Linked DNA regions of Ovis aries. The protein of the gene in region 1 purifies or fractionates together with the protein of each later gene. This does not show direct contact. Links are inferred from orthologs where the notes say so. Each region holds a gene or a part of one and is shown on either strand. Other genes may lie near its edges.

Region 1 (16,292 bases):
GATACAAAATTTGTTAAACACTTTTTAGCTTAGTTGGGTTTCAACATTAATCATACAATATTAGCTTTGTGAAAGACTATGTAAAGGCTGTTTTTCTTTATAAGAAAATTATTCTAATCAGATGAGCTGGTACTTATGATTCTTTGTATATACATCTGTAAAAAAATCAAATGATTATGAATGTTCTTTAGAGAACGTCTTTGTGATTTAGCATTGGGAAGCTAACTGTACATTATAATTTTTATTTAAAAAATTAGATCATGCTTGTTTTCTAAAAAATGATAAAACCTTCTTTATAAAATCATAAATTTAGAATTGTTTAATTAAAAATAACAGAAGAATAAAACCATTTAAAAAGTGTAAATAATAGCAACAACAAAAAGCTCTAGTTTACCCAACTTTTATTCTTACAAGGTTTACATCACAAAGTTCCACTTCATTCACATTTTGGGAACTTAAACCACTTTCTTCTGACTCTATAAAGGAATGATTACTTTAGCACAATAGATAGTATTTTTAAATGTCTTTTAATTATTATTCATTGGTGATGTTATTAATAGTAAATAGAATTAAAGTAAGTCAATCAACAGAAGTACATTTCATGATAGGATTTTGAATTTTTTATGAAATGCAGCAATTCACTGAGGAACATTAAAAGAACAATGTAAAATGAACAGGCGGTTTTATAAGGTGGCAAGATAAGTCACTATTGAATTCTCTATTATTTTACAGTAATTGCACCAGAAGTGCCTTTTAAAAGACTAACATGTGCTCATTGTTACTGAACTGCAGGATAATGTATTTGCTCTAATATTGTTCAAAACAAAATAAAGATTTTTCACACTATAGCTGTTGGTTTTCCATTTTTAAATAAGAATACTAGGTATTCTTTTTCAAAAACTGCTTTTCCTTATAGAAAAGCTTAAGAAAAAAGTATCACCATCCATCTAGTTGTCCTCTTTATACATTTCAATTGCAGACTGGTTTTCCCCGCTGCTCAGTTCAATACCACTTTCCCTGGTGGTGTTATGCTTAAAGTGACCATAGATTAATTTCTTAAAATTACGCAAAGCATACTTTCAGAACTTAAAACTTAAGTGAGAAAAGCCAGAGTATGTCACTTTATCAGATAATTTGATTTGGAAACTATCAGCCCAGATCATGATTTCAGATTATCAATATATTTCCCTTACAGAAATAACACAGAAGTCCTAGAGCAAGTAATAGTTTTGCTACCCACCTAAATCAAGCCAGCAGCTCACAAAACTGGTCAAACATACAAACTTCAAACTCAGCAAACTAGTAAGGTGATGTCTGAAATACTTCCTGGTCTCAGGTGTTGAATTTTCCCCACTTGGATGCTATGGGAGAATTATGAGTTACAGAGATGAAACAGGATATGATGGCAGTAAAGTGAGGACTGGCAGCGGGACCAACCTCACCCCCACACTCAGGTTCTGGTGGTCAAGGGTACTCACTTCCTAACTTTCTCCCTCTCCTACAGCCAGCACTTGATTGACTCCTTGCCTCTTCTCTGTCCAAGTCAATCGTATCAGTCTAATAAATATAAACAAACCAGAGCAGACCAAGAGATCTGGTTAAAAAAAAAAAAAGTTGGTGAATTAAAATACCATCTTCAGCTGGACCTATTTTGTTAAAGGTAAAAGGAGTGGGGGGGAGAGGGATGTCCCATACAACCAAACGTTCATGACCTTATTCCAGAATTCAGGTCTAAGCAAGTGGGTGTGCCTGGCTTGAGCTTGCATGCTAAATTGCTCAGGCTCCTCTGTCCATGGGATTCTCCAGGCAAGAATACTGTGGGTTGCCATTTCCTCCTCCGGTGGATCTTCCCAACCCAGGGATTAAACCTGCATCTCCTGCATTGGTAGGTGATTCTTTATCACTGAGACACCGGGAAATTCCTAGGAGATACAAACCTCCACTTAGAAAATAAATAAGACATAGAGATGTCATATATAATATTTTATTGTAATAAATTTGTATGGAGTCAGATGGTTACTAGATGTATTGTGGTGAACATTTCCTAAGGTATGCAAATATCAAATCACTTTGATCACATTTAACATACTCTTGTACATCAACTGTATTTCAATATAAAATAAATAAAGGCCTTTTCTTCTAACTCCAGGATCAGGGTCATCTATGGGTCTATTTTTCTCTTTCTTATTAGATTACTATTATATATTTCTGTTTCTTCATATTTTTAATAATATTTTATGTTGGACATTGTGTTTAGTTGTAGAGTCTCCAGGTAATATCTTCCATCAGCAACAGCTCTTCCTTTTGTCAGGTATCACGAAAGCCTAGTAAATCCATCAGGTCTTGAGCTGGGTTGTAGATTTGAGGATTCAGGCTATCTCAGGTTCATTCCCATTCTTCATGATTGATCCACTTGGGTTTTTTGGTGTCTTGGATGTTCTCCTTTTTTCTTAACAATTCCTTCAACAGATGTTTTAGTGGTGGCAACTGTGTGTATGTGGGGGTGAGGTGAGGTCACTGCCATGACTTATTTCTCTTCATTTCCTCCCTTATCTCCTTCTTTCCCTTCACTGTCCTCTCTTGAAGGAATACTACTTGCTTGTCAAAGTGGCTGCTTCGTCCTCAGAAGCAATACTTATCTGAAGTTGCCATCTCTGGCTTCTTCCTGACAGCCAATACTAACCCTCCAAGAGGGCTTCCCAGGTGTAGCGCTTCAGCCTTAAAGAACCCACCTGCCAATGCAGGAGCTGCAGGAGACACAGGTTCCATCCACAGGTTCCTCCCTGGAGGAGGAAATGGCAACTCGCTCCACTATTCTTGTCTGCAGAATCCCCGTGGACAGAGGAGCCTGGCAGGCTACATTCATACAGTTGCACAGAGTCAGACACTACTGAGCTTCTGAGCACAGGCACACACAACCTTCCAAGACCTAGGCTGTGCTCAGTATCCTGGTATTTCATGTTTGACATTTTCTTTCAGGGCTTGATTTTGCCTATGCTTTGTCTAAATTACTTGCTCCTCTTTCCTCGTTTTCAAAGAGGAAGCCTTGCATCTTCTCCTCTCAGCATCGGAGTCTTGCAGCAGTAGAGAAAACTTGCTGGAGTTTGCTACTTAGCAGTCTTCCTGTTAATTTGATGTTTGTGGTACCCTCCATCTCCAAGTATCGTGAAAGGCATAAATCATGTGTAACTTTAAACTCCTTGTATATCTCATGGTTTTTCTTAAGATCTGTAGACAGATTCTGGCTTAGGCAGTTGACATAAGCCTCTGGACACCAGCATAACTTATTTGTTATTTCTTATTGATATAAAATTAACTCTGTTGATGTGCCATACGCCAAGCTGCTTCAGTCATGTCCATCTCTTGGCGACATTATGGACGGTAGCCCACCAGGCTCCTCTCTCCACAGGACTCTCCAGGCAAGAATAATGCAATGGGTTGCCATTTCCGCCTCCAGGGGATCATCCTGACCTAGGGATCGAACCTGCATCTCTTACAGCTCCTACATTGGCAGGCGGTTTCTTTACCATTAGCACCACCAACTCTGTTGATAACCAGCTCCAATTTATTAATTTTCATGCATTCTAAATATCAATTAATTATACAATTTATTCATTCCTTTATTGATAATGATTTAAGTTGCACTTAATATTTCACTACTACAAGAGAATGCTACAAAGAACATATTTGTATATGTTTATTTATTCACACATGTAGGCATTTCTCTAGGGCAAATACTAAGTCTAAAAAGTGCTGTGTTATAGAATATGTGCACCTTCACTTTTACCACATATTGCCTAATTGCTCCCAAAAACTGTTGTAATACATCTCTACCAGCAGTGTTAAGAGGATTCTTATTTTTCTACACCCTTATTATCAAAGGTTCACTTTTTTACACTTCTGTCATTCTGATGGATGAGACATACTATCTTTTTTTAATCTGCATTTCCCTGATGACTAGTGAACCTTTGTCTTTTCATATTCTTTTCCTAGTTTTCCATTAGGTTGTTATTCGTTCTTGTTCATTTTAGTTCCTTGTGCATGCTAGAAATAAACATCTTTGAAATTCTGTATTTTGTAAATATATCTTCCAAATTTGTGCCTTATCTTTAATTCATTTAGCTAAACAGAAGTTTTAAAATTATAACATCATAAAAAAAATAAAATTATAACATCATGAAATCTACCATTTCTTCCACTAACATGTCATTTTTTTAATTATAGTTTTTTATTTTTTAAATTTTAAAATCTTTAATTCTTACATGCATTCCCAAACATGACCCCCCCCCCCCCCCCACCTCCCTCCCCACAACATCTCTCTGGGTCATCCCTATGCACCAGCCCCAAGCATGCTGCACCCTGCGTCAGACATAGACTGGCGATTCAATTCTTACATGATAGTATACATAACATGTCATTTTTAAAAAATATGTTTTCTGAAATTCCACCAACGTCCTGGACACACAGTCCTATATCTTCTCATCAAAGTATAACAGTTTGTCTTTTACATTTGTATCTTTACTCACCTAGAGTTTATTTTTGTATATAATGAAAGGTAATACTTTTTTCCTATGTGGACAGACAATTGCTCCAGCACAACAACTTCATACTGGTACAAAGTTTCCTCATCTGTTCATTTGAGTTCAAAACAAACCGAATATGTAGGGCCTTTCACAAACACATCCATTCAGCTTATAGTTCACCGCGCCCTTCCAGAGCAGCATCATTATCTTTTTTTTTTAATATTATATATATTTTATTATACCTGCTTATGCCATTTTTGTGTTTATATCATTACTCATTTTATCAGAAGTTTCCCCACACTCCTTCCTTCCATCCATCATTTAATAAACACATGTTGAGCACCTCTTATATGTTAGACACAGATGTATGGAGGTGGATGTAAAATAAAATAATCCTTGAGTTCAAGAAGTTCTTAGTATAGTTCTGTTAATACTTTACTAGACTTTTCATGAAAACTGAACCATTGGTTTGCAATTTAGAACTTATGTCAACCAATTGTATAGGGAAGCTTAATCTATTTCCAATGAAACCCCATATTTTCCCCCTAAAACACTGAACATTTTTACTTCTGAAGCAAAACTACCAGAGCAGCATTATTATCTTAACAAAGCATACGACATATTGCATTCGCTCTTCTCGAAATATTTTCACAAATCCTGTTCTCTCTTTTCCTTACAAAATTGCAAACTTCTGAGACGAAAAAACAAGGCATTGCCCAATTAATCTTCGCATCCTCTATATTTGGCATTGACTTGATTATCAAATACTCTTCAATTTTATTCTGATTTTCACCCTTATAGGTGGGAACTCCCAGTCAGTATAAGCCATATCTTTATATTTAGGTTTTCACACAGAAAGAAAAAGCTTACCTTTCATCTACTAGCCCACCCAAACAAGTTCAGTGTTTCTAAATCTTTTTTCAAATTTTAAACAGAAACCTCAAAAAAAAAACTCTTAGTGATTAGAAACCCAAGTGACCCTTTGTGCCCTGTTGTAGAACAGTCTGCATCAACATTAAAGTTAGAAGGCACCGTGTGCGGGTCTGGCCTGGACTTGTTTTTGTCTTGATGCCAGGAGTGGGCCCCTCCTTGACCCAGTTCTGAGCTGGGGCGATGCTCGGGGGAGTGTTCACATCCACGGGGCTTTCCTCATCTTCTCTTCGTTTGGTCCAGAAGCCTCGACCTGCACGCAAATGGCAGGATGCGAAAACTACCTTCCAAGTCACCGACCATCCCTGATGGAAAGCGGGGGTGTCCAACTCCGCCGCCAGCATTCCTCAACACGACTTTGGGCTGGAGCAACCGATGGCGCAAAGTTCTCAGGCGACTTCTAGAACCTCTCGCCAGCCTCCCCCGCTGCCTGGTTACCAATCAGGTCAGGCTGCAATCCAGCGCTCCCCATTCGGCCGCTGGACCCGGCGCCCCAGTTAGTTCCGGGTGACTTCAGGTCACGTCGAGGAAACAGCTGAAAGGGCGGGCTCGGGTACACGAATCCCACCGCACCTTCCTGAGCCCCCGCAGACGCCGAGGGGCGGGCTGGGGGCCCGGCGTCAGGGCGGCTGAGGCGCGATGGGGTAGGCGCGGCCTCTGCGTTCCCGGAGTCGCGCGCCCCTGCGGCCCCAGCGCACATGCGCCCGGACGGCTTTCCCATAGGCCCCCGCGGCGGAGCACCGCCCCCGCCCGACGCCCTCGAGCGGCCAGGAGACGGCAGCTGCCTCACCCGGCGGCTCGCCGGTAGAAGAGCCTTTGAAAGGCGGCGGGAGGCAGCGAGCGCAATGGCGAGACTGGGTCACCTGCTGAGCGTGTTGGGTCTGGTTCTGTGCGGGGCGACGGGCCTCGGTCTGAGCGCCCCTCCCTCGCCCACCCCCAAGAAGCCCATCATCGGTAAGGAGGCGGCTGGGGCTGGGGCTGGGGCTGGTGAGCCGGGAGCGCGCCCTGGGCGCTTCCAGCTGCTGCGCTAAGGCAGGTGCATCCGGTCCTGGAAACGTTAGGGTTAGTACGTGTGCCTTCCTAGCCCAGGGATCAAACCATCATTGAGATCCTGCTGAAATATACCTAGCTAATGCTCGTTGATTTCCCGCAAATCCTTGGCTCTTAAAATTGGAAGGGAGGAGCATGCACCGTGAAGAATCCTGAGGATATGGCAGCCCACTCCAGTGTTCTTGCTTGGAGAACCCCAGGGACGGCGGAGCCTGGTGGGCTGCTATCTGTGGGGTCGCACAGAGGTCGGACACGACTGAAGCGACTTAGCAGCAGCAGCAGCAGCAGCAGCAGCAGCAGCAGCAGCAGCAGCAGCAGTAATTTCTGCGGAGTAGGCAATGGCAACCCACTTCAGTACTCTTGCCTGGAAAATCCCAGGGACGGGGGAGCCTGGTGGGCTGCCGTCTATGGGGTCTCACAGAGTCGGACACGACTGAAGCGACTTAGCAGCAGCAGCAGGAACTTCTGCTAACTAAACCTTCTGTATGCATGCATTATCTTTATTAAAATTTCACTGGTTGAGGGCTCATTTCGAGGAACAATGCAAAATCGAATTGACTAGATAATTGAGAAATTATGGTATACCTGGCCTTTGTCGTCTTTGGCAGCGGAGGGCAGCCGTGGCTCCTGTGATCCTAGTAGCAATTCTGTTTTATGTTAAAGTAAAACAGTCATTTTTCTTTTTCAACACACTTATTTTCTATAAAGGGAGTAACATCAATTTGCATCGCCAGAACAGACATTTAAGACTGGGGCAAGGGAAAGCAACCCTGGAGAAATCAGCTCGTATTTGAAATGTGCAAAAAAGTAATTTGTGGGCGGACAACTAGAATTGATTTCATTTTAGCTGGTAGTATTGTTAGGCCTTTCATTTTGTTTCTTTCCCCCCCTTTATTTCCCACGAAGATGGGCACTGTATCCTGTAACTAAATAGAAAGTAATTGAGCATTTTTTCATGGATATTGGTAGTGTCCATTTTCATATGTGTTGTGTATCAATATTTGAAACTTGAGATGCATTATTTCAAAGGGAGTTAACTCAAAATGTAATCCTATGTAGGCTTACTGGGTGGCTCAGTGATAAAGAATCTGCCTGCCAATACAGGAGACGCAGGAGATTCAAATTTTATCTCTGGGTCAAGAAGATCCCCTGGAGGAGAAAATGGCAACCCACTCCAGATTCTTGCCTGAAGAATCCCATGGACAGAGGAGCCTGGCAGGCTACAGTCCATGGAGTGGCAAAGAGTCAGACATGACTTAGCTACTGAGCACATTGCAAAACAAAACTACACAGGATGTTTTATATTTTGATTACAATGTTTGTTCCATGTTATCTGGTAAAATATATGTGCATTTTACTATATGTAATCTATACCTCAGTAAATCTGAGTAAAGTTCCTTGAAAAGCAAAACAAGGGATGCAGAGAGAACTTTTAAGGGGCTATTAGAATAATCCAGGTTGGGGGGGTAGGCAGGATGTTTTGTTGCTTGGATTAAGATTGTTTTGATGGTGTTGGAGAAACATGCATAGAGAATTTTTTCACTCTTTTGCTTTGTTGTCAAGGAAACCATGTGCCTGTGTGTGTGTGTGTGTGTGTGTGTTTAGGGAGGGGCCTTCTGCTGGATTTAAGGATTGGTACTCTGACATAGATTCTAGCTTGTGCCAAAGAACCTGGCTTTGGGGGCTTATTTGGCCTCCCCGATGTGGCAAGAGAAGAAGCTACTTACAATTCAAATAAGCCTCCACTACTCCTTTTCCAAATCCTATAGATATCCTTTCAGGAGAAGCTTTATGTGTAATTCTGTGAATTAAATGAGTGAAGAAGTGATATTTCTAGGGTGATATGTTTCAGTTTCTGAGCAGGAAAAGAAGGATATTACTTGAAACAGAAACTTTATTTTTTTTGTAATTTAGGAATATTAATGCAAAAGTGCCATAATAAGAACATGAGAGCCCTGGGAAAATACTACATTGCTGCATCCTACGTGAAGTTTCTAGAGTCAGCTGGTGCAAGAGTGGTACCAGTAAGGTACGATGCAATAGTTTTTACACTGAATTAAAAAAAACTGCAACTTCTGTTTCCTCTCTAAAGTTATCTTTTATCTCTAAAATGAATGCTTTCTCTCTTACGATTGCATTATTCAAGCACATTAATGTTATACCTGGTTTTTGCCCCAAATCTAATGCTTAGAGTGTCTCATTAAGTTGTTCAAAGTGTGAAGCTGCATCTTTCTATTATATCATTAGAGCTGTGTCATGTATATTAGATAGAGAATGAAATGATAAGTTCCTTTACTCCAGAAAAGGTGATCCTCATCAGATATTACAAAAGCAATGGAGTAAAAGCACTTCTAGATTCACCAGCTTCATTCCATAATATTAGTGTAAAGAAACATGTAAGGAATCAAGGAATATTCTAGAAGAGGACTTTTCAGAGACCTTCCCACCCCACTTTAGAAGTTTGGAGATGACTAATACAGCACTGTTGCTTCGATATTAATTGCAGGTATTGCGATTTTAAAGGACCTACATTATTTTTGTGGTGTAATGATCTAAGGAACAATCAAATGACTCGTGTCATATTCATGACATGACATGATAAATGATTCATGTCATTTTGATTTGGAAAGACTTGAATTTTTTTTTTTTTTACAAAAGCCTTGTTGCTGTATTGATATTGTCTTATCACCCCAAAATAGTGTATTTGAGGGTCTTCTAGCACACTCACCTAATCTATTGTAAGTGGTTTCACACATAAAACACAACTGTTTGCTCAGGAAAACCTGTTATTGTAAGTAATTTCACATTAAAAAAATGGTAACGAAAGTAAAACATTAATACTCAAAATGCAAATACAGTTTTGAGAATAGTACCACAAAATGGTTTTATCTTTAGATGAACATTTGCTTTTGACATTAGTCTTCAGTTTTTTCATAGCAATCTAATTTTTTCAAATGAAATCTTCTTTGGAACTTAACTAACAGCAGAGTTTTAGAGCTGAGGTGGAGGTTCTGGACAGTCCTCCAGACAACTTGCAAAGTTTTGATCCTGGAAGCTTTTTCTGCAAGCTGTTCATTTAGAAAATAGGTTTAATAACATGGGTGGAAGGTGGGAGAGACGAAAGACAGGTAGGCCAGTTCAGAGATGTGACTGGGTTAGGTGTGAAGCAAGGAAGGCTTGGCTTAGAGCAGTGGTTGTAGAATTGCTAGGTAAATGTTTTTTAAAAAAATTAATAAGACTCAATGACTACTAGGATGAAAGGGCACAGGGAGGAATAGACAAGAATGGCAGAGGTTTTGAAATGGGAAATGTTGAAACTGATGACTTGCAGAATACTGAGATTCATGACTGAGATGCTGAAAACATGGCATACAGGTTAATTTCCAGCTTGGATTCCCAAAGTTCATTTTAAGGTATATTGCTCAGAATTAGAATCATGTGATTCTATAAAAGCAGTATAATACGTGGCAGCTAAATTCCCAGAGCAACCTGCAAAGGATTCCCTAATGTAGAATGAGTCGTGATCACACTGATGATGTTGGTTGGGTTTATTTCTGAATTTCGGATGCTGGGGACTGACTGCTGCAGTTCAGAAGGAAAGAGGAGGTGGACAGGAGACCTCAGCAGAATCCTTGAGCAGGCGAAGGTGCCCTTCAGGGGAAGGGCCCTTCAGAGGAAGCAGGTGCCCTTCCTCCTGTCTGGCCTTCACCCTCTGGTGCCCGGTGCACTCAGGTTATTATAATCTCCTGCCCTAGAACTGGAGGGACCCAGAAGGTGTCCACCTCCTGAGAGGTGGCATGTGGCAGCCCACTGGCACTTTTGGTCTAAAAATCTGTTTCATTCGTAGTGTTTAAGGTATGTACAAATCAGGAGACTTCATAAAAGTCTATATTTCTGGCCTTTATTTTTTTTTAACACCGTTTTCTGGAGCTAATTTTGAATAGAGCAAGAGCTGTCCATTGGCAGCAGTGCCTGTTGCTCCTTTTCATGCTCCGAAGCTGTCATTTGCCATCATTACTAGACGTATGCTGTTTTCTTTAAAGAGAACTTATTGAGGGGGCCTTGCGTTTTAAGAAAGTCTGACAACATGCAAATGTCATCTGTGTTCAAAGAACGTGCCCTGTCTGTTTTGCCTTCACGGTCTCTGAGACACCTATGTTTGTGACCCCCGTCCCCACCTCACAGTTAAGCCCCTTAATAGTGATGCACTGGGCCCCCAAATTCAGGCATGGACAACATGGGAACCGTTTTTTAGAATGAGTGAAATGACCAGAGCCCGGCTGCAAGGCTACCTGGCAGGAGTCCCTGGAGAGCAGCTGATTCATCTCAGTCCATTTGAGCTTCTGATGGTGGTGGTTGCCTATCCTGATTTAAATGTCCGTGGGGAAGATTCTGTGTCCCGACTGGTCCCCTCTTTGTTGACATAATCTGGGGAGATTCACCTGGCAGAACGCTGGGACTCAGCGGTTTCCCTGGTGTCCCCACAGCTAAGACTCCATGCTCCCAGTGCAGGGGGTCTAGGTTCCATCCCCGGTCAGGGAGCTAGATCTGATACGCTGCAACTAAAATCTGATGCAGCCAAATAAATAAATAAATAAATAAATAAATAAATAAATTTTTTTTAGAAAAGAATTACTTTCACCTGGCTTTTAAATAGTAATGTGGTAGCTTTATTTAGAGACTTTCTTTCTTCAGTTTTGGGAATGGATGTTTTATAACTATTTTTATCATTTTCAGGCTTGATCTTAAAAATGAAGAGTATGAAAAGCTTTTCAAATCTATTAATGGGTAAGTTGCCAACATTGCTTTAAGACAATGTATGAGGTCTAAGTGATGCAAAAGAGTACATATGAATACAATACATGTTTCTAGGTAACTATTTTTCAGTGGTATAAATGTTAGTTTTCTGAGTTATTTTATAGAAATTATTTTGTTGAGTGATGTAAAAATCCTGCAGAGAGAAGGCAGGTTAAAAAATAAATGTTATATAGTAGATAACATATTTTTTTTTAATGTACGACATAATTTTTATTCTTTTAATGCTTGTTTTAAAGGCTTTGAAGCCACTTTGGAGGCCATGACATACTGCTTGCTTAGGGGATTTATGTCTTAAGACTTAAGATATTAATTGGTTATCTTTCAGACGGTGATTTGAATAGAATTTGGTAAAAAGTTTTATATCCTCTAGCTTCATCACAAAAGATATGATTGCTTAGCTCACAGAAAAAAATCATATGAAAAAATGTGAGACTTATTCATAATTAAAGGAAAGCTAATTATAACAATTAAAAACCACCAAGTTGGCAGAAAGCAGAAAATGTGCTAATGTGCTAAGGTGAGGTGAGGGTATGAGGAAACAGTGTTCTTATACTTTATTTGTGGGAGTTGTTGATGCAAATAAGATACAAACAATCTACATTAAGGAACAGAAGAAAGTTTTCTTCAAGCCATACTGAGGACTATAGCCCAGGAAGAAAGTGCTTTGGAAAAACACCATGTTATATCTTGACAGATCAAAGAATGTACGTCAAACATGACAGGGTTACATTCCTTCCAGGTTTCAACAAAGACGTGGCCAGTGAGTCAGCATGACCTTAATGTCTGGCAAGGGAACCTTGGAAGGACCAGGTCTTGGAAGGACCACTAGCATGGGCGTCATAGGAAGGGCAGCCATTTGTCCCTATCTTCAGAGTGGACTTTTCTTTAACTTCTAGATAATGCATTCTTTTCTTAATGGTTAAAGCAGAGGTACAGTACATGTTTGATGGACCATAGACAGACTGTTCTTATTAGCATAAAGTTCCAGTCAAATCATGTGTAAGTCAGAATGACTTCCCCATACTAGCTCATGCTAGCTCATAGTAGGTGAAAATTTCTTCTATCAGGGTGGAAGTTAGATAGTCTTTTGGGGGCAGTTTTATAATCTTTTGAAATTAAAAATGCACATACCATGTGACACAGGAAATGCTTCAGAAGGAATTTTAGTTTACAAATATAATCCTCTCCTTTAACATATACACACTACTATATGTGAAATAGGGAACCAACGAGGGTCTGCTGTACAGCCGAGGTATCATACTCAATATTTTATAATAACCTATAAGGGAAAAGAATCTGGAAAAGAAAAGCTAGTCACCTTGCTGTACATCTGAAACTAACACAGCATTGAAACTTGACTATATTTCAATAAAAAGTAAAGCGAAAAAGGTATAGTCCTGTCTTATATGATGACCTGGGCCCAAACGTATGTACTGTTGTATTGTTTGAAATACCCCTGATTTGGAATCCATCCACCCACCCATCAGTTTGGAACTGGGTTAAAAAATAAACTATACTCATATGATAGAATATGGTTCAAAATGAGGGTGTCTGTAGATGATGCCCTGAATCACTGTTGTAACCTGAATAGTGTGGTATTGTTACACGAAACAAGCAGGGTGCACAGAGGTGTGTGTAGTGTACTCCCATTTGATTTTGTTTTTGAAGTTGGGGTGAGGAGACATGCATAATATATACCAGGTTAACACAGCAAATCTTAATGGTGGTTATTTCTGCTTGGGAGTGGAATAGAGGGAGTCTATCTTACTGTAAAGCTTTTATTAAAAGAACTTTTAAAAATTAAAAATAATTGTTCATTTTTTAAAAAAAGCTATGTTCAAAGCTATCATTTGCATTCAGTTCAGTTTAGATCAATAAGTATTTAAAATCAGTTCAATTTAGTGAAATATTTACAATGCCTGTTATGTGCAGTGTACTTTTTTTTTTCTTTTTTTTAAAGTTGTGATTGAGTTTATTTTTTTTAAATTTTTTTTAATTTTAAAATCTTTAATTCTTACATGCGTTCCCAAACATGAACCCCCCCTCCCACCTCCCCTCCCCATAACATCTCTCTGGGTCATCTCCATGCACCAGCCCCAAGCATGCTGTATCCTGCGTCAGACATAGACTGGCGATTCAATTCTTACATGATAGTATACATGTTAGAATGCCATTCTCCCAAATCATCCCACCCTCTCCCTCTCCCTCTAAGTCCAAAAGTCCGTTATACACATCTGTGTCTTTTTGCTGTCTTGCATACAGGGTCGTCATTGCCATCATTCTAAATTCCATATATATGTGTTAGTATACTGTATTGGTGTTTTTCTTTCTGGCTTACTTCACTCTGTATAATCGGCTCCAGTTTCATCCATCTCATCAGAACTGATTCAAATGAATTCTTTTTAATGGCTGAGTAATACTCCATTGTGTATATGTACCACAGCTTTCTTATCCATTCATCTGCTGATGGACATCTAGGTTGTTTCCATGTCCTGGCTATTATAAACAGTGCTGCGATGAACATTGGGGTACATGTGTCTCTTTCAATTCTGGTTTCCTCGGTGTGTATGCCCAGCAGTGGGATTGCTGGGTCATAAGGCAGTTCTATTTGCAATTTTTTAAGGAATCTCCACACTGTTCTCCATAGTGGCTGTACTAGTTTGCATTCCCACCAACCGTGTAGGAGGGTTCCCTTTTCTCCACACCCTCTCCAGCATTTATTGCTTGCAGATTTTTGGATCGCAGCCATTCTGACTGGTGTGAAGTGGTACCTCATTGTGATCTTGATTTGCATTTCTCTGATAATGAGTGAAGTTGAGCATCTTTTCATGTGTTTGTTAGCCATCCGTATGTCTTCTTTGGAGAAATGTCTATTTAGTTCTTTGGCCCATTTTTTGATTGGGTCGTTTATTTTCTGGAATTGAGCTGCATAAGTTGCTTGTATATTTTTGAGATTAGTTGTTCGTCAGTTGCTTCATTTGCTATGATTTTCTCCCATTCAGAAGGCTGTCTTTTCACCTTGCTTATATTTTCCTTTGTTGTGCAGAAGCTTTTAATTTTAATTAGATCCCATTTGTTTATTTTTGCTTTTATTTCCAGAATTCTGGGAGGTGGATCATAGAGGATCCTGCTGTGATTTATGTCTGAGAGTGTTTTGCCTATGTTCTCCTCTAGGAGTTTTATAGTTTCTGGTCTTACTTTAGATCTTTAATCCATTTTGAGTTTATTTTTGTGTGCGGTGTTAGAAAGTGGTCTAGTTTCATTCTTTTACAAGTGGTTGACCAGTTTTCCCAGCACCACTTGTTAAAGAGATTGTCTTTACTCCATTGTATATTCTTGCCTCCTTTGTCAAAGATAAGGTGTCCATATGTGTGTGGATTTATCTCTGGGCTTTCTATTTTGTTCCATTGATCTATATGTCTGTCTTTGTGCCAGTACCATACTGTTTTGATGACTGTGGCTTTGTAGTAGAGCCTGAAGTCAGGCAAGTTGATTCCTCCAGTTCCATTCTTCTTTCTCAAGATTGCTTTGGCAATTCGAGGTTTTTGTATTTCCATACAAATCTTAAAATTATTTGTTCTAGTTCTGTGAAAAATATGGCTGGTAGCTTGATAGGGATTGCGTTGAATTTGTAAATTGCTTTGGGTAGTATACTCATTTTCACTATATTGATTCTTCTGATCCATGAACATGGTATATTTCTCCATCTATTAGTGTCCTCTTTGATTTCTTTCATCAGTGTTTTACAGTTTTCTATATATAGGTCTTTAGTTTCTTTAGGTAGATATATTCCTAAGTATTTTATTCTTTTCATTGCAATGGTGAATGGAATTGTTTCCTTAATTTCTTTTTCTACTTTCTCATTATTAGTGTATAGGAATGCAAGGGATTTCTGTGTGTTGATTTTATATCCTGCAACTTTACTGTATTCATTGATGAGCTCTAGTGATTTTCTGGTGGAGTCTTTAGGGTTTTCCATGTAGAGGATCATGTCATCTGCAAACAGTGAGAGTTTTACTTCTTCTTTTCCAATTTGGATTCCTTTTATTTCTTTTTCTACTCTGATTGCTGTGGCCAAAACTTCCAGAACTATGTTGAATAGTAGCGGTGAAAGTGGGCACCCTTGTCTTGTTCCTGACTTTAGGGGAAATGCTTTCAATTTTTCACCATTGAGGATAATGTTTGCTGTGGGTTTGTCATATATAGCTTTTATTATGTTGAGTTATGTTCCTTCTATTCCTGCTTTCTGGAGAGTTTTTATCATAAATGGATGCTGAATTTTGTCAAAGGCCTTCTCTGCATCTATTGAGATAATCATATGGTTTTTATTTTTCAATTTGTTAATGTGGTATATTACATTGATTGATTTGCGGATATTGAAGAATCCTTGCATCCCTGGGATAAAGCCCACTTAGTCATGGTGTATGATCTTTTTAATGTGTTGTTGGATTCTGATTGCTAGAATTTTGTTGAGAATTTTGGCATCTATGTTCATCAGTGATATTGGCCTGTAGTTTTCTTTTTTTGTGACATCTTTGTCAGGTTTTGGTATTAGGGTGATGGTGGCCTCATAGAATGAGTTTGGAAGTTTACCTTCCTCTGCAATTTTCTGGAAGAGTTTGAGTAGGATAGGTGTTAGCTCTTCTCGAAATTTTTGGTAGAATTCAGCTGTGAAGCCATCTGTACCTGGGCTTTTGTTTGCTGGAAGATTTCTGATTAGTTTCAATTTCCGTGCTTGTGATGTGTCTGTTAAGATTTTCTACTTCTTCCTGGTTCAGTTTTGGAAAATTGTACTTTTCTAAGAATTCATCCATTTCTTCCACGTTGTCCATTTTATTGGCATACAACTGCTGATAGTAGTCTCTTATGATCCTTTGTATTTCTGTGTTGTCTGTTGTGATCTCTCCATTTTCATTTCTAATTTTATTGATTTGATTTTTCTCTCTTTGCTTCTTGATGAGTCTGGCTAAT
Region 2 (15,682 bases), on another chromosome or scaffold:
GTTAGAATACTGTATTGGTGTTTTTCTTTCTGACTTCCTTCACTCCTTATAATAGGCTCCAGTTTCATCCACCTCATTAGAAAGCGAAAGTGAAGTCGCTCAGTCGTGTCCGACTCTTTGCGACCCCATGGACTGTAACTTATCAGGCTCCTCTGTCCGTAGGATTTTCCAGGCAGTAGTACTGGAGTGGATTGCCATTTCCTTCTCCAGCGGATCTTCTTCAAATGTATTCTTTTTAATGGCTGAGTAATACTCCATTGTGTATATGTACCACAGCTTTCTTACCCATTCGAAAAACACTTCAGGAATTTGCGTGTCGTCCTTCCGCAGGAGCCGCGTTAATTTCCTCTGTATGTTCCAGTCTTACTAACGTGCTGCCGAAGCGAGCGCTGAAGTACTGTTTTCACCCCGTTGTATCAAGGGCATGCTGACAGCATGACATCACTTCTGGTCTTTACCTTGAGCAGCTGGCTGAAGTAGTGTTTGCTGGGTTTCTCCACTGTAAATTCCAGCTTTTCCTGTTCTCATACAGGAAGGGGAGCACTGTGTGTAGCCCACTTGTAAGGGTAGGGAGTTATGTTTCTCCTCCTTGACAGTGGACTGTCTGTATCTGTTACTTGGAATATTTCTGCCTGGGAAGTTTGCCTCTTTTGTTTGATTAGTCTCATTTATTTATTCAGTAATGTAATGTGTAGATTCATGGGCATTTATTTTGTGCTTTAGAATATAATCTAGTACGACTTATTTATTGCTTGTATTGTTCCAGCTTTGGCCATTGCTCGCTCTTTTGTTCCTTTGATGTAGCCCCCCATCCTTGTGGGCGTTTTTGTTTTGAACACTTCGTCACTTTCTGGCGGTACAGGATGTTCCAGGCTTGTCTTATATGTTTGCTGCCCTAATCCTAGAATCAGCCAAGGAACCCAGTTTCCTTTTTATTGGAGATGATATTGGAAACCAAAATCCTTGATGCTAGGGTATTTATTGAATTGCTACTGAGGTGTAGTAGTTTCTTGTATGCCCTCTTAACTGATAGAGCAAGAAAATATATGTGTGTATACTAACTGGTTCATATGCACATATCTATAAATGTTTTGTGTGTAATCCTCTGTATAGTAAGGTAGACATGAGTTCATATTGTAGTCTCTTAACTCTCGCCCGTTACCATGTGGATTATCTTAGCCTCTTTGTCTTGCTTGTCCGTAAAATTTCCACGCTCAGCATTGAAAGTGGCCCCTGCCATACACCATCCATTTACTTAATTTTCCTGATATGTGTGTATAGCAGTATGCAGATGGTCACCCTGGATGCTCATGCGAGTCAGTTCAGCTTGAGCAGTACTTTTGCATAGTCTGGTTTTGCAGACTTCGCTGATTGCCAGAGCTGCTTAGGGAAAAGTCTTTTCCCGCCAGCTCTCTGAGTGAGGTTGCTTCATGGGTTTGTGATACAGTGGGGTGGTTTCGCCACATCCTGTGTGTATCCTTGGGTCACTCAGCCTCTTAAATGATGGTTTATAATTTCCGTACATCAAGATCCATTCTTTGTGCTGTTTTATGGGATTTGAAAAATATGTAGTACCGTCATCCATAACAACAACAGTATACAGGACAGTTTCTCTGCCTAGAATAGCCCCCTGTGCTTACCTATTCAACCCGACCGCTGCCTCTAAACCTCTGGTTTTTCTTTTTTTTCTTTTGCTATCTAGGGTTCGGCCTTCTTCAGAATGTGATCTAATTGGAATTACATAGCATTGGCCTTTTCAGACTCAGTTAGCCTTCTCTCAGCAGTATCCACTAAAGATTTAAGTCTCTTTTGGGCTTAATAGCTCTTTTTTTTTAAATTATAGTTTATAGTTTGGTTACAATGTTGTGATAATTTCTGCTGTACAGCAAAGTGATTCAGTTTAGGTAGCTCATCTTGTAATTTCTGAACAATATTTCATCGAATGGGTATACTACAGTTTGTTTACTCATTCCCCTACTGAAAAATGTTTTGGTTTCTTCAGGTTTTGAGTTATGGATAAAGCTGTTATAAGCATTTGTGTGACGGTTTTTGTCCAGTCGTAAGCCTTCAGATCTGTTGGGCAAGAACTTGGGAACATGATTGACAAATCATATAGTAAGTCTATGGTTAGCTTTGTAAGAAATTGCCAGAGTATGTTCCAGAGTGCCTGAAATTTTAGATTTTCACCAGCAGTGAAATGAGTTCCTGTTACTTCACATCCTTCCTAGTGTTTTGGATCTTAGGCATTCTAATAGGGGTATTGTAGTATCTCATGGTTTGCAGTTACCTAACAGCAGATGAAAGAGCTTCCCCAGTGGCTCAGCGGTAAAGAATCTGCCTGCAGTGCAGCAGCTACAGGAGACCTGGGTTCGATCCCTGAGTCAGGAAGATCTCCTGGGGAAGGGCATGGCAACCCACTCCAGTAGGAGAGTCCCATGGACAGAGGAGCCCAGTGGGCTACAGTCCATGGGGTTGCAAAGAGCTGGACACGACTGGAGCGACTGAGCAGTGGCAGATGGTGTCTCATCTTTTCATATGCCGTCTAAACATCTTGTTTGGTGAGGTGTCTGTTTAGATGCTTTGCCCAGTTTGTAATTGGGTGGTTTTTCTTACTGGTTGCGTTTGTGTTCTTTGTACATTTTGGAATCCATTTCTTTATTAGATATTTATCTTGCAAATATTTTCTCCTAGCTTGATTTGTTTTTTAATTCTCAAGTTTCTTTCATAGAGTTAAAGTAAGTTCAACCAATTTTTTTCTTTTGTGTGTCTAGCTTTTGATGTATTGGGAAACTCTTTGTCAAACCCAAGATTGCTTACAATTTCTCCTGTGTTTTCTTATAGAAATCATAATAGTGCAACATCCTTTTTGATATGTGTGTGTAGGAGGACTGAAATGAGGGTGGGTTTTGTTACTTGGTAATACTGGGTTTTCATTAATGAAGTGGAGAATTAAGATCACCTTAAAATATATTGTTTTGGATTATTTCTAAGTGTGACCAAGTCTTTAACAAAATTTGGAATGTTTGGGCTGGCTTAATAGTGGCTCTTGAAACTAGACCTGTTCAGCGTTTTCTTGGGAGTACTGGCAAGTTGCTTTGGCAAATATTGAAGCAGCATGTGTAAAACTAGCAGTGGCTTAGGCTCGTAAACACACGGCTGTGAGAACTGACTTGCCATGGGTTGGCAATGGTGGTTCCTCCACGGCTTTAACAACCCTCTAGGTAATGTGAAAGTTAACAGATATGTGCCTGAGACTTCTCAAACCTGAAAAACCAGGTCCTGAAACTCAGGCTGTAGGGAAATGGTGGTGGAGAGAAGTGCGTTTCCTGTCCATGACTGGGATGGTAGCCTTATGCTGCCGGACAACTTCTGCTTTTATTCTGCCTCCCTCATGCAGATGCCACCTTTCCTGGGTTCCTCGTCCAGCAACCTGTTCCGCAGTCACGCTGCTCACTCACTAAACCCTGCCTGAATCCTCCGTTCCAGCCCACTCCCTTCAGGACCCTTCCTGACTAGCCTTTCTATCCTCTCACACGTGTTCGGGATGCAGCCACGTTTTGTCTAGTGTAATAGAAATAGGAGATCTGAAGTCTTTGACTCTCACTTATTGGTTGTGATATTGAGTAAATGATTGGGTTGTTTTCATTTCACTACATCTTAGTAATACCTCAAGGGAGGTTTGCAAAATAATGTAACTGTGAAAGTGCTTTTATAAACTGGAACACAAAGCACAAGTTGATGATTCATAAACCCTAGTCAGTGGTTCTCAGGGTAGCAACCTTTGCATCCCCTGGAACCTGATAGGAAGGAAAAGGCCCAGCACGCACACACTCAATCAGCAGTCTGTTTTAAAAAGCCCCCTGAGGCACGCTCAAGTTAGGAAGAGCTGTCTTGTGACATTATACTCAACCCAAGGAGCATTGTGTTAGTCTGCTTGGACTGCCACAACAGCACCACAGGCCGGGCAGCTTAAACAACAGAAAAGTGTTTTCTTACAGTCTGGAAGTCTGTGATCGAGGCGTTGGCAGAGTTGGCTTCTGATGTGGCCTTCCTCCTCAGCTTGCGGAGGGCCACCATCTTGTGTCCTCGTTGGACTTAACCTCTGTGCATGTGGATTCCTGGTTCTCTTCCTCTTACTATAGACACCAGTTAGGGCCCCAACCTTATGACTGCTTTTAACCTTAATTACTTAAAGGTCCTATCTCTAAATATAGTTATGTTGGGAGTTCAAGTTTCAACATACAAATTTGAGGTAGGAGACACAGTTAAGCCTGTAACAGCGGTATATGTTGTATGTGTGTGTGCGCTCAGTTGCTCACTTGTGACCAAATCTTTTACAACCCCATGGACTGTAGCCTGCCAGGTCCTTCCATAGGATTTCCCAGGCAAGAATACTGGAGTGGGTTACCATTTCCTTCTCCAGCGGATCTTCCCGAAATGTGGGTCTCCTTCATTGGCAGACCAGTTCTTTACCACTGAGCCATCTGCAAGCCCATAACATAACAGCAGTATATCAGTAAATTAAAAGATACAGGGAAAAAAATCAGTCTTCCTGTTCTGCAGCTGTACTCTCCCTCACTGAACCCTACCTGAATCCCATTTTTGAAAGTTAAGTAGTTAGTTCATCTCCCCGATTAGCTTTTCCTTGAGCAGCAGTGTTTTAACATCAGTGCACAGTCCTTATTAATTCACTGGCTTTGTGGTTCACTTAATTGCTACTGGGCTTATCACATTTGCCTTTTTGACTTAACTATTTTGTGGGCTAATTTGATTTATAGAGTATCCCTGGGAACCCAACTGCCATTTATAGCATTATTTCTGTGAGGACTTCTTAGGTTGTATACAGTTGATGTAGATAAAAGGGTTGAATCAGCCTGTTTAGTTTCAGAGAATCCAGTGTAGTTGTAAATCAAAGCGATATTGCTACGCCATTGTAGATTTCGGTGGTAGAGAATAGAAGCCTTAACAGTGAAAAATTGAAATTACTGGCATTTCTTGGTATATAAGAAGCCATAGCAGAATGTTGACATTGAGAGTTTTTAAACTCTAATACCAGTCCTAGGAAAGATGATGAGTGAGTTTTTATTTTTATAAAAATCTTTTATTTCTTTATTTTCTGTGCTGCCTAGGAGTCCAGTGAGCCTTACTTTCTTTCATTTTGTGAAAACAGTACCCACGCTTTATAAATAAAGGAAATGCCGCCAAATGATACATGAAAGTCTAGTTCTATATAATCAATCACTTTAAAGGATTATAGCATTTATAAGGAATTAGGCGTTAAATTCAGCATTAGAATAAGTTGATTTACCAGTGACCAAAAAATTAAGCTATTTTATTTTAATAAAATCTTTTTTATAGCAGTGAAAATACTTGTAAGATTTACCATCTTAACCATCAAGTTCAGTGGCATTGAGTATGTTCATATTGTTGTACAGCTTTCACCTCCATCCGTCTCGAGAACTCTTCATCTTGCAGAATTAAAATTCTGTACAACCTACTGCCGAATCATTTTGTGCATCCGTGTGGCTCAGTTTTTGTATCTTTAGATCTGTGGTTTTGGAGAGAGGATTGACTACCATCCATGACAGTCAGATATGATATGTAAGACACTTGAAGGCTTAGAAAAAAGAGATAAAAATAGTTGGTCTATGGTTTAATATATTTTTTTGTTTTTCGGAGAAGGCAATGGCGCCCCACTCCAGTACTCTTGCCTGGAAACTCCCATGGACGGAGGAGCCTGGTGGGCTGCAGTCCATGGGGTGGCACAGAGTCGGACATGACTGAGCGACTTCTCTTTCATTTTTCACTTTCATCCACTGGAGAAGAAAATGGCACCCCACTCCAGTGTTCTTGCCTGGAGAATCCCAGAGACGGCAGAGCCTGGTGGGCTGCCGTCTTTGGGGTTGCACAGAGTCGGACACGACTGAAGTGACTTAGCAGCAGCAGCATGGTTTAATATATTTTTTTGTTGAATCTTAAAACTGATGTATTATTTATTTACTTGGCTTATTGGGTCTTAGTTGCTGACAGGTGGGATCTTTGCATCCTGCGGGGTCTGGTTTTAGTGCAGGACCTTGTTGAGCATGGAGTCTCGAATTGTGGCCTGTTTGCTCTGGGCTTAGTTGCTCTGTTGCATGGAGGATCTTAGTTCCCCAGCCATGGATCAAACTCAAGTCCCCTGCTTTGCACAGGGTTCCCTGGAAGTCCCTTAAAACACTAATTAAAAAACATACCTATTCTTCTTGATCTTTGGACAAAAACAGCAGCATCTAATCTAAATTAAGTCTTTAATGTGAGGCAAGTTAACTCCTCTGTTATTTCATTGTAATGTTTTAACTCGTTTAAACTATTCTGTAAAAGGGGCTTTGTCTATTGTAAAGCTCTTTACAAATGCAAGAAGTTATTTTGAAATTATATCTGAACACCCTAGGTCTGTGTAGCCAACATGATATTCTATATGGGGACAATTGTTTGAGTTATAGTTTGAATTTTTTCTTGAAATTGAATCTTTTAACTAACTGATTTTAGGAAAACCTGTTATTCTGAGTTCACTTTCTTTATCTATAAAATGAAATACAGTAAAGTTCCTTTCAGCTCTGATTTGAAAGCCTTAATTTTAAATAAGGGTTCAAAATTTTTGAAAGGAGGTGATACAATTAACTGTATTTTTTTTTAATAAATACTTAGATCATGGAAGGGAAGTGGTTGCTGTGTATGTTACTGGTCCTTGGAACTGCTCTTGTTCAAGCTCATGATGGACATGACGATGATGTGATTGACATTGAGGATGACCTTGATGACGTCATTGAAGAGGTAGAAGACTCGAAACCGAAGCCAGATGCCAGCAGTCCGCCATCGCCAAAGGTTTGACATGATCTTTGAATCTGTTTGTTTTGCCTCTTGAGATGATCAAAAGATGAAGGTACATTTTGGATCCTTACCAAAGGGAAAGCAAAATTTGCTAAAATACTTATTGCTCTCCCTGTCAACCTTTGTTATATTGTCCCAAAGATAAATTATATGGGTTGAATTTGAGGGCCAGTCATGCAAGTGTGAAAGCAAACCAAGAGAATAGATCCTACTGAGAATATTTTAATTCTTAATTCATTTTTATGTTTAACACAGGTCACCTACAAAGCTCCAGTTCCAACTGGGGAAGTGTATTTTGCTGATTCTTTTGACAGAGGAACTCTGTCAGGGTAAGTGTTTTGTAGGGGGATAAAATCTTAGAGGCAAACATCATGTAACTAGAATAGTAGATTCCTTTTTAGATAGTATTTTATATTTTCAGTCCCATTTAGGAAAAATCTTTAGAACATGTGGTTCTTGCTTCCATTTATTTCCCCTTCACCTTGTATTTTGTTCTTTGAGGAAAATCTTTTTTTCTCTTTGAGTCTTAAAAAGTGAAATTATTCCATGAGTTTGGTGCTTTTTGTTAACCGATTTTTGATTTGAGTATAATATATTATCACTACTTGAAAGACATATTTAAAAGTTGAAAGTAGAGTGATTAGGTGGGCTAAGAAGAGCTGAATTGTCCCTGTTTTTATTATTATTTACATTGTTTCTTTTTACAGGCCAACTGTAATTTGATTCTTAATTTGGGGGGATGTCTTAATTACAGGTGGATTTTATCCAAAGCCAAGAAAGATGACACTGATGACGAAATTGCCAAATATGATGGTGAGAGTTGCATTTGACTTAGATATAACAGCAGATTGAGATATAGTATGCTTCCATAGTATCTCAAGACTAGTTTAAAAGTAGTATGTATACATTTTAAGGTTATTCCTTGGAACTTTGCTATCTTTGTGTGTCCCATTATATTTTATAGGGTTAGACCTGTTTAATTTTAATTTTTATACTATAAAGTAGAAAGATAATTTATTACCCATGGTGCTGTATTTTGAACATGGAAGGTCTTTTCTAGGCATTGGTAAAATGCATGTGCTTTGGGTTTTTAAAAACTATATCCTAATATTTATTAGTTATGTGTGTTTAATATTAATAGGCCAGCTCTTAGAGGTAAATGGAACAGGTTAAACATTTGCCTGTGTGATGAATTTATACAACTTGGAGTTTTATTTATTACCATTAAAGGATCTTCAGAGGTGTAGTTAGAGAATGGAACTATTTTTTGTTGTCTTGCAGGAAAATGGGAGGTAGATGAAATGAAGGAAACGAAACTTCCAGGCGATAAAGGACTTGTGTTGATGTCTCGGGCCAAACACCATGCTATCTCTACTAAGCTGAACAAGCCCTTCATCTTCGATACCAAGCCTCTCATTGTTCAGTAAGTAAAACACTTGGTTGATAGAAGCTTTCTGGGAAGAATGATACCTGTTTAAAACTGTTATTCTATGTAAAAAAATAATGAAAATAATTACATGTTGCAATAGAAATTTTAGGATGTGTTTCAGCATATCGTAACATTTTTTTTCATGCCCAGTAAATTATTTTAAAATAAATCAGCTATTTTTCCTCCTGATGCCAAATGAACTTCTGGATTTTACAGAAAGTATTTATTGGGAATCTGCATTACGGTTTTTTTGGTTTGTTTTTTTTTACTTATTTAATTTTGGAGGATTGGGTGGATATAACAGTAGAAGATGGAATTTTTACATATAACCTGTATAAAGCATGTGATCAAAATGAGGGAAAGGGGAAATAAATTTCTGCTTTTTTTCCCCCCTAAAATTAGGTATGAAGTTAATTTCCAAAATGGGATAGAATGTGGCGGTGCCTATGTGAAACTACTTTCCAAAACCCCAGAGCTCAATCTGGTAAGTGCTTTCTGTTTATGTGGCCACCCAATTACCTTTTAAGAATTTCAGAGAGAACGAAAGAAAATTTTCTAAGACCTGTGAAAATAAAGGTCTTCTTTCCTGCTGTTGAAATATCTTGGAAGTTGAAAATATCGACATTGACATTTCTGTGCTTTTTATTTGAAATGTAAATTTTGAAGCTGTTTCTTAGTTTCTGTCCTATGTAATTTTTAGTTTTAGCAAACTTTATAAAAGAAGCAGTAACTCTCTAGATAAATGCATTATTTTATGCTTTTAATCATTCTCAGTGAAATTTCTGGTTATTTTCAGTGGTATCTGTACAAATCTCATAAATGAATAAATAGGATACTATTTGGGAATTTGTAAGAGGATATATCATACTTTTGAAAAGTTGCTTTTCAACACTTTGAGTTACTTAATTCGTTTCTGTTTCTGAAGGATCAGTTCCACGACAAGACCCCCTATACGATTATGTTTGGTCCAGATAAATGTGGAGAGGACTATAAATTGCACTTCATCTTCCGCCACAAAAACCCCAAAACAGGTGTATATGAAGAAAAGCATGCTAAGAGGCCAGATGCAGATCTGAAGACCTATTTTACTGATAAGAAAACACATCTTTATACATTAAGTAAGAAAAACTATTAATTAATTTGAGGGGGTTTTGGCACTGCCCATTTATTATCCTTCTAAAGATTATAATGAAAATGACCTGCAAATAACAATCTCTATTGACTTAATATCATAGTGGTGAGAAGAACTTAGTTTCTCAGCACTAAAAGAAATGTTTCTTCCTTAGGTTGAATTGAGAAACAGATTTTAAGAAAAGCTTTTATGTCCTGTAAAAGGATTCTTTGCTTGATCTCCACTCATCTCCTGCCTTTGTTTATTTTCTTATTGATAGAATGTTAAGTAACAGGACATACAATAGAAATGTGTCTTCTAGTTGAACTTGTTTGGATGCTCCAACACCTAGACAGTTGAGTATAATTATTCAGACATTGGAATGGGGTTTTTTATATTCATAAGGCTTTTTCTGCTGCTTTGAGATCACATGTAGTCATGCTTCTTTTCCTGAAGAATGCAATACCTTTTTTTCTTTATAACGAAAGTATATATATTCAGCATAGAAATTTGAAAGGAAAAAAGACAAAGTATCTGAAATATCGACATTGTGATACGTATTTGGCCATATGTGAGTAAACATGTATATATGTGTAAACACATAATTTTATATTAAAGGTTAAATATGTTTTATTTCTTCTCTTAACAAAATGTGAGAATTTTCTGTGAGAATGTTTCATTGATAACATTGGTCACCTTCATTATCATTTAGGACAGCAGCATAGTACTTACTCTGTTAGCTTCCACAGTATTCTGGATGTGCTGTGATCTAGTCACTTGCCTATTAGACATTTAGTCGTAGGATCCAGGCTTTAGCATAATTCCACTTAAGATACCTTTATAGATTTAAAGCTACATTTGCATTCTTCACTGGAGTCCAAAAGTACAGCCTGAGTAGATTTGTGGTTTAATAAATAAAAGGTTTGTGTGATTGGAACTGTTGGCAACATAGATAGTGGTAATACCAACTCAGAAAATGAGGAAATGGGTCTTTTCTACTGGGAGATGGTTATAATAAATAAACTTATTTGCCTGTTGACCTGTGTGTAACCATTTGTGACAGACCAATATTGCAGTTACTTTGCATACTTTTGGTGTTTTGATGTTTTTGTGTTCATATTCCATGTTCATGGAATATTTTGTTTTTAAAATTTTACCTGTTGTTTAATTTCTAAAAACCTGAAGAACTAATGTTTATGATTGACAGATAAGGAAAAGAGTACAAACTTGCCTGAGCCTCCGTGACCGTGTTCCGACTCGTAATAGCCAAAGTCATTACTCCATGCTTCTGCCTTCTGTTCGAAATACGATCTTTTGTGGTAAAGAAAACTTGGGAATGAGTGGCTAATTAACTTACAAAAATTGCATTTGGTTTTTTTCAGTCTTGAATCCAGATAATAGTTTTGAAATATTAGTGGACCAATCTGTTGTGAACAGTGGGAATCTGTTAAATGACATGACTCCTCCTGTAAATCCTTCACGTGAAATTGAGGACCCAGAAGACCGGAAGCCTGAAGATTGGGATGAAAGACCAAAAATACCAGATCCTGATGCTGTCAAACCAGATGACTGGTGAGTCTTTGGTACCTGTTTTTGAATGCAGTGGAGCGTTTCATACATTCCATGTGGCTTAAGCAATCTAATGATGGTTGAAGTCTGATAATTTGTACAATCTGTGATGCAGTGTAAATGTTAGGAAAAGTGCAGACTACTACAGCTGAAAATAGTAGTGACCGCATGGTGACCCCCAGGGCCGTCGTGGTCATCTGGACTGCCTCACGCCATTTCACAAGCTACTAAATGCTGAAACTCATGATAGGGCTTGCCTGTGGCAGCACAGTTGGTTTGCGACGGAACTTCACATTTTTTGGCCTGGCCTTTCCCGTGCTTCTATAATTCAATTTAAAGCTGGAGTCCTAAAATTTTAATTTGAAAAATAGCCTTTCTCCTATTAAGCAGTACTCAGCAGATCTTTGCGCTCCGTTGGGCGCTGGAATACAAAGCTACAGGCACGCCGCTGCCTGCACAGCCCGCACCGTAGTTGTGAGACAGGCAACGAAGTTGGCGTGCATATGGTGAATGATCTAATATGTGTTTCCATGGTGACCAGAGCACCAAGTATACCAGGCTTTAGTGTTTTAAATTGGGAACTGAAAGTGGGCAGGAGCTAACTAACTGGGAAAGATGGGAAGTGGTATTTCCTGGTTGAAGGAGAATATCATGTGCAAAAGTAGAGGAAGAGGAGCGAGCTTAGCACACACGTGGGCAATTGAGTGGTCTTTTATGCAGGATGCAAATTGGAGAGTGGTCAGAAATGGAAGCCGGTGGGTTGTCCTCTTGTGCATGACCCTGTTTGAACTCTTGGTATGGTGACTTGTGGAAATGTTAGAAAGTGAACAAAGAGAAATATAAAACTGATTTTCCATTTGTAAAAGCATCCTCTTAGGTTTCTTAGGGAAATTCTAGTTGATACTTACCTGCTGCACTGGTGTAAAGAGTGAGTTTATTTATATGTTTGGTGAACATTAGATTTGGGCTCACCTTGTTCAGTATTGTATTCCTTAACTAGCTGTTTTGTTGTGGAGGAGAAGTAAATGTTCAGCTTAAAAGGTCAGGTGAATGATAGACAAGTTTTAGTCCTAACACAATTTTAAACTAGCATAGTTCTAAAACAAGCATAACCCTGACCAAGAATAGGAGATGTCCTTGGTTACCAGCTAAAGTGGCACTGTCTTACAGTAACTGCAGAAAGCTTTGAAATTAGGTACTTCTTGATAAACTTAGAAGGGTGACTGTTAAAGTCATAATTCACATGCTAAAATCCACCCTTTTAAAATGTACAGTTTACTGGTTTAGTATATTCATAGTGTTGTGCGGCGATTACCACTGTAATTCCAAAACATTTTTATCACCCAAAAAGAAGCCCATACCCATGAAGCAGTTACTTCTCCCTATTTCTCCCTTCCACCAGCCCCTGGCAACCAGTAATCGACTTTCTGTCCTACGGATTTGACCATTCTGAATATAGGATTAGTAAGATATGTGGTCTTTGGTGTCTAGCTTCTTTGGCTTAGCATAATAGTTTTAAGACTCTAAGACTCATCCATGTGGAACCTTGTATTGATACTTTCTTTTTGTGACTGAATAATATTCCATCCTGTGGGTGATACCACATTTTATTTATCGATTCCTTGTTTAATTGACATTTAGGTTGTTTCCCTTTTTGGGCTATGGTTGTGAATAACACTGCTATAAACATTCAAATGAATGGTTTTGGGTTGAACATACGTTTTCATTTCTTTTGGGTATATTCCTAGGAGTGTAATTGTTAGGTCACATGGTAACTATGTTTAACTTTGTGAGGGACTGCCAAACTGTTTTCCAAGGTAGCTGCACCATTTTGCTTTCTTACAAGCAATTTAGGAGGGTTTCATTTTTTTCCATATCCTTGCCAATACTTAGTTTTATCAGTCCTTTTTCATTATGGTCATCCTACTGGTTATGAAGTGGTATCTTATTGTGGTTTTGATTTGCATTCAAAATGATGACTAGTGATGTAGAACATATTTTCATGTGCTTTTTGGGCATTTGTATATCTGAAGAAATGTTTATTCAAATCCTCTACTGGTTTTTAAATCAAATTGTCTTTTATTATTGAATCGTAAGAGTTCTCTATATATTCTGCATACTAGACCCTTGCATATGATTTTAGATATTTCTAGGAGGAGCTATTTCACAAAGTGGGACCACACTGTAATCATTGTAGTTCTGTGGCCAGTGTTATTGTTAATTGTCTTTTTCTTTTGTGCTTAGGGATGAGGATGCCCCTGCTAAGATTCCAGATGAAGAAGCTACGAAGCCCGAAGGCTGGTTAGATGATGAGCCTGAGTATGTGCCTGACCCAGACGCAGAGAGGCCGGAGGACTGGTATGAGCATTGGTTAACTTTAACATTGCCTGCTCTTTACTGAAGGGAAAGTTAGTACTTAATACAGCCAGGGCTTCCCCGGGGGCCCAGACAGTAAAGCATCTGCCTGCAGTGTGGGAGACCTGGGTTCAATCCCTGAGTCAGGAAGGTCTCCTGGAGAAGGAAATGGCAACCCACTCCAGTATTCAACTGCTCAAACTTAAGTGTAGAGCTCAACAAACTAAATTGATTACATTTTCATCTCTTTTTTAATGTATCTTGTCACAGAAAATCCTTTGTTACTGGAAATGCAGAAACAAAATGATGCTTTGTAGTACGCCGCTGAATATTCCTGCAGGATTTTAGGGAAGCCCTGGGGTAGCTTTTCATAGTCCTGCTTCACAGAATCCACTTGCAGTTTGTTTATGTCTATATAGGGATGAAGATATGGATGGAGAATGGGAGGCTCCTCAGATTGCCAACCCTAAGTGTGAGTCGGCCCCTGGGTGCGGTGTCTGGCAGAGACCCATGATTGACAACCCTAACTACAAGGGCAGATGGAAGCCCCCCATGATTGACAACCCTAACTACCAGGTTGGTACCTCCTGATGGTTGAGCTGCTTCATTGAGCTCTTTGTGTTCAGATAGTTCTCGAGTGTGTAGTGAGCCTGCCACAGATTGATCCTCTATATTCAAAGAATTGAATTAAAAACAAAGTAAACTTCGGAATTAAGAGAGAACTTATGTGTTGTGTTGAAGAGATAAACCTAGGAAGTGGAAAGACAAGCTTTCATAATTGCATTATAACTTAAAAACAAACAAAAATGAAAACTTGTGTTTCGGACACCCTCCTACCATGTGGCAGGGGTGCTCCAGCCATAAATATCCAAACTGGCAGTCTCTGGTAGCGTGGATAGGGGACTGTGGTGAAAGTTGGTTTCCTGACCGTGAGTTAGCCCATTGCTTGACCTCGGTATCTTCAGCTATAAAAAGACTGAAGCGCAAATGAGATGATTATACCGGTGGTGATACCTTAAAGCTTCAAGTTTACTGTGGCTCTGTAACAGTTCCGACCCTGGTCTCACTTCTGTTTCTGTTCTAGTCAGATTATTTAAACTCACTAATTTCTACTTTACAGCTTACTTCGAAATGTAAGTTCTATCTCTACATATGGACTGTGTATGCTTTTCTGTTTTTAAGTGTATTTTTAGTTGTGCAGGCAGTAAGAAAAGTTGCCCCTTAGCTGTTTTGTTGACGGCCATTTAGGTGAATTTCCATTTTTGCGTTTAGAATCCTTGCTGCAGTGATTTTTCTTGTACTAGTCTAAGTATGCGTGGCAATCATTTCTCTGGGCAGTTGTCTGAGGTGAAGTATCTGACTGAAGACCGTGTGCACTTCACCACTGAGGAAGTCTGTACTGGTCTGTGCTCCCACTCCTGCCAGCAGTTAGCTGATAAGAGTGAAGGCTCTTGGAATGTGCCAGGTAGAGCAAGGTGTTGGTCTGAATCAAGGTCATGGGTGAAACTGAAAGTAGAAGTTGGAAGTAGTTGGAGTCAGCCGTCTTAGAGGCGTTAGTAGCGTTTATTGTTTTCTTCCTGATAAGTTTCACCCAGTCAGCACTTACTTCACAGATAATGCAGAATTCATCTTATTTAGGTTCACTGTAAATTTGTGTTGATCATTATCTGAAATGATTTTTTAAAATACTTTTCTCTAGGGAATCTGGAAACCACGGAAAATACCAAATCCAGATTTCTTTGAAGATCTAGAACCTTTCAAAATGACTCCTTTTAGTGCTATTGGTTTGGAACTTTGGTCTATGACTTCGGACATTTTCTTCGACAACTTTATTGTTTGTGGTGATCGAAGAGTAGTTGACGATTGGGCCAATGATGGATGGGGTCTGAAGAAAGCTGCAGATGGGGCTTCTGAGGTTCGTGCTTCCTTGTTTCTTGTGCATTTATGTCTTTTATAGGTAACTAATTGCTACTGTTGGTGAAGAGCGATCTTCTAAGATTTGTCTTTTCCCTTATTTGGGAATGTTGTCATAGAAAGTGTGACCTGTGTTTACTAAAGACAAAATACTGGGGTTTTGGACATGATTTCATTAGGTTAATACAAAGATTTTAGAGTCTATATTTGTGTTATATGCATGGTATTTCTTTTAAAATTGTGCTAAAATATAGTTAACAGGGATTGACAAATATACTACTATATATAAAATAGATAACTAATATGAACCTATTGTACTGCACAGGGGACTCTATTCAACACTCTTTAATGACCTACATGGGAACAGAATCTGAAGAGTAGATACATGTATAACTCACTCACTTGGCTGTACAGCAGAAACTAGCACAGCGTAA

What was found.
Region 2: the proteins of GGH (region 1) and CANX purify together in Homo sapiens (affinity purification with mass spectrometry; 3 studies listed by BioGRID and IntAct, with this or other methods). This does not show direct contact. The link is inferred for Ovis aries from reciprocal best matches to the Homo sapiens genes GGH and CANX.

The regions. Positions count from the first base shown.
Region 1 is NC_056062.1:41,008,277-41,024,568, reverse strand, and holds the start of GGH (gamma-glutamyl hydrolase), read left to right. Parts: upstream 1-6,201; 5' UTR 6,202-6,298; coding exon 6,299-6,407; intron 6,408-8,417; coding exon 8,418-8,532; intron 8,533-11,240; coding exon 11,241-11,291; intron 11,292-16,292. UniProt on the Homo sapiens protein: Hydrolyzes the polyglutamate sidechains of pteroylpolyglutamates. Progressively removes gamma-glutamyl residues from pteroylpoly-gamma-glutamate to yield pteroyl-alpha-glutamate (folic acid) and free glutamate.
Region 2 is NC_056058.1:1,385,798-1,401,479, reverse strand, and holds part of CANX (calnexin), read left to right. Parts: intron 1-6,687; 5' UTR 6,688-6,690; coding exon 6,691-6,864; intron 6,865-7,125; coding exon 7,126-7,199; intron 7,200-7,624; coding exon 7,625-7,683; intron 7,684-8,151; coding exon 8,152-8,293; intron 8,294-8,701; coding exon 8,702-8,783; intron 8,784-9,224; coding exon 9,225-9,417; intron 9,418-10,792; coding exon 10,793-10,982; intron 10,983-13,223; coding exon 13,224-13,337; intron 13,338-13,753; coding exon 13,754-13,910; intron 13,911-15,033; coding exon 15,034-15,249; intron 15,250-15,682. UniProt on the Homo sapiens protein: Calcium-binding protein that interacts with newly synthesized monoglucosylated glycoproteins in the endoplasmic reticulum. It may act in assisting protein assembly and/or in the retention within the ER of unassembled protein subunits.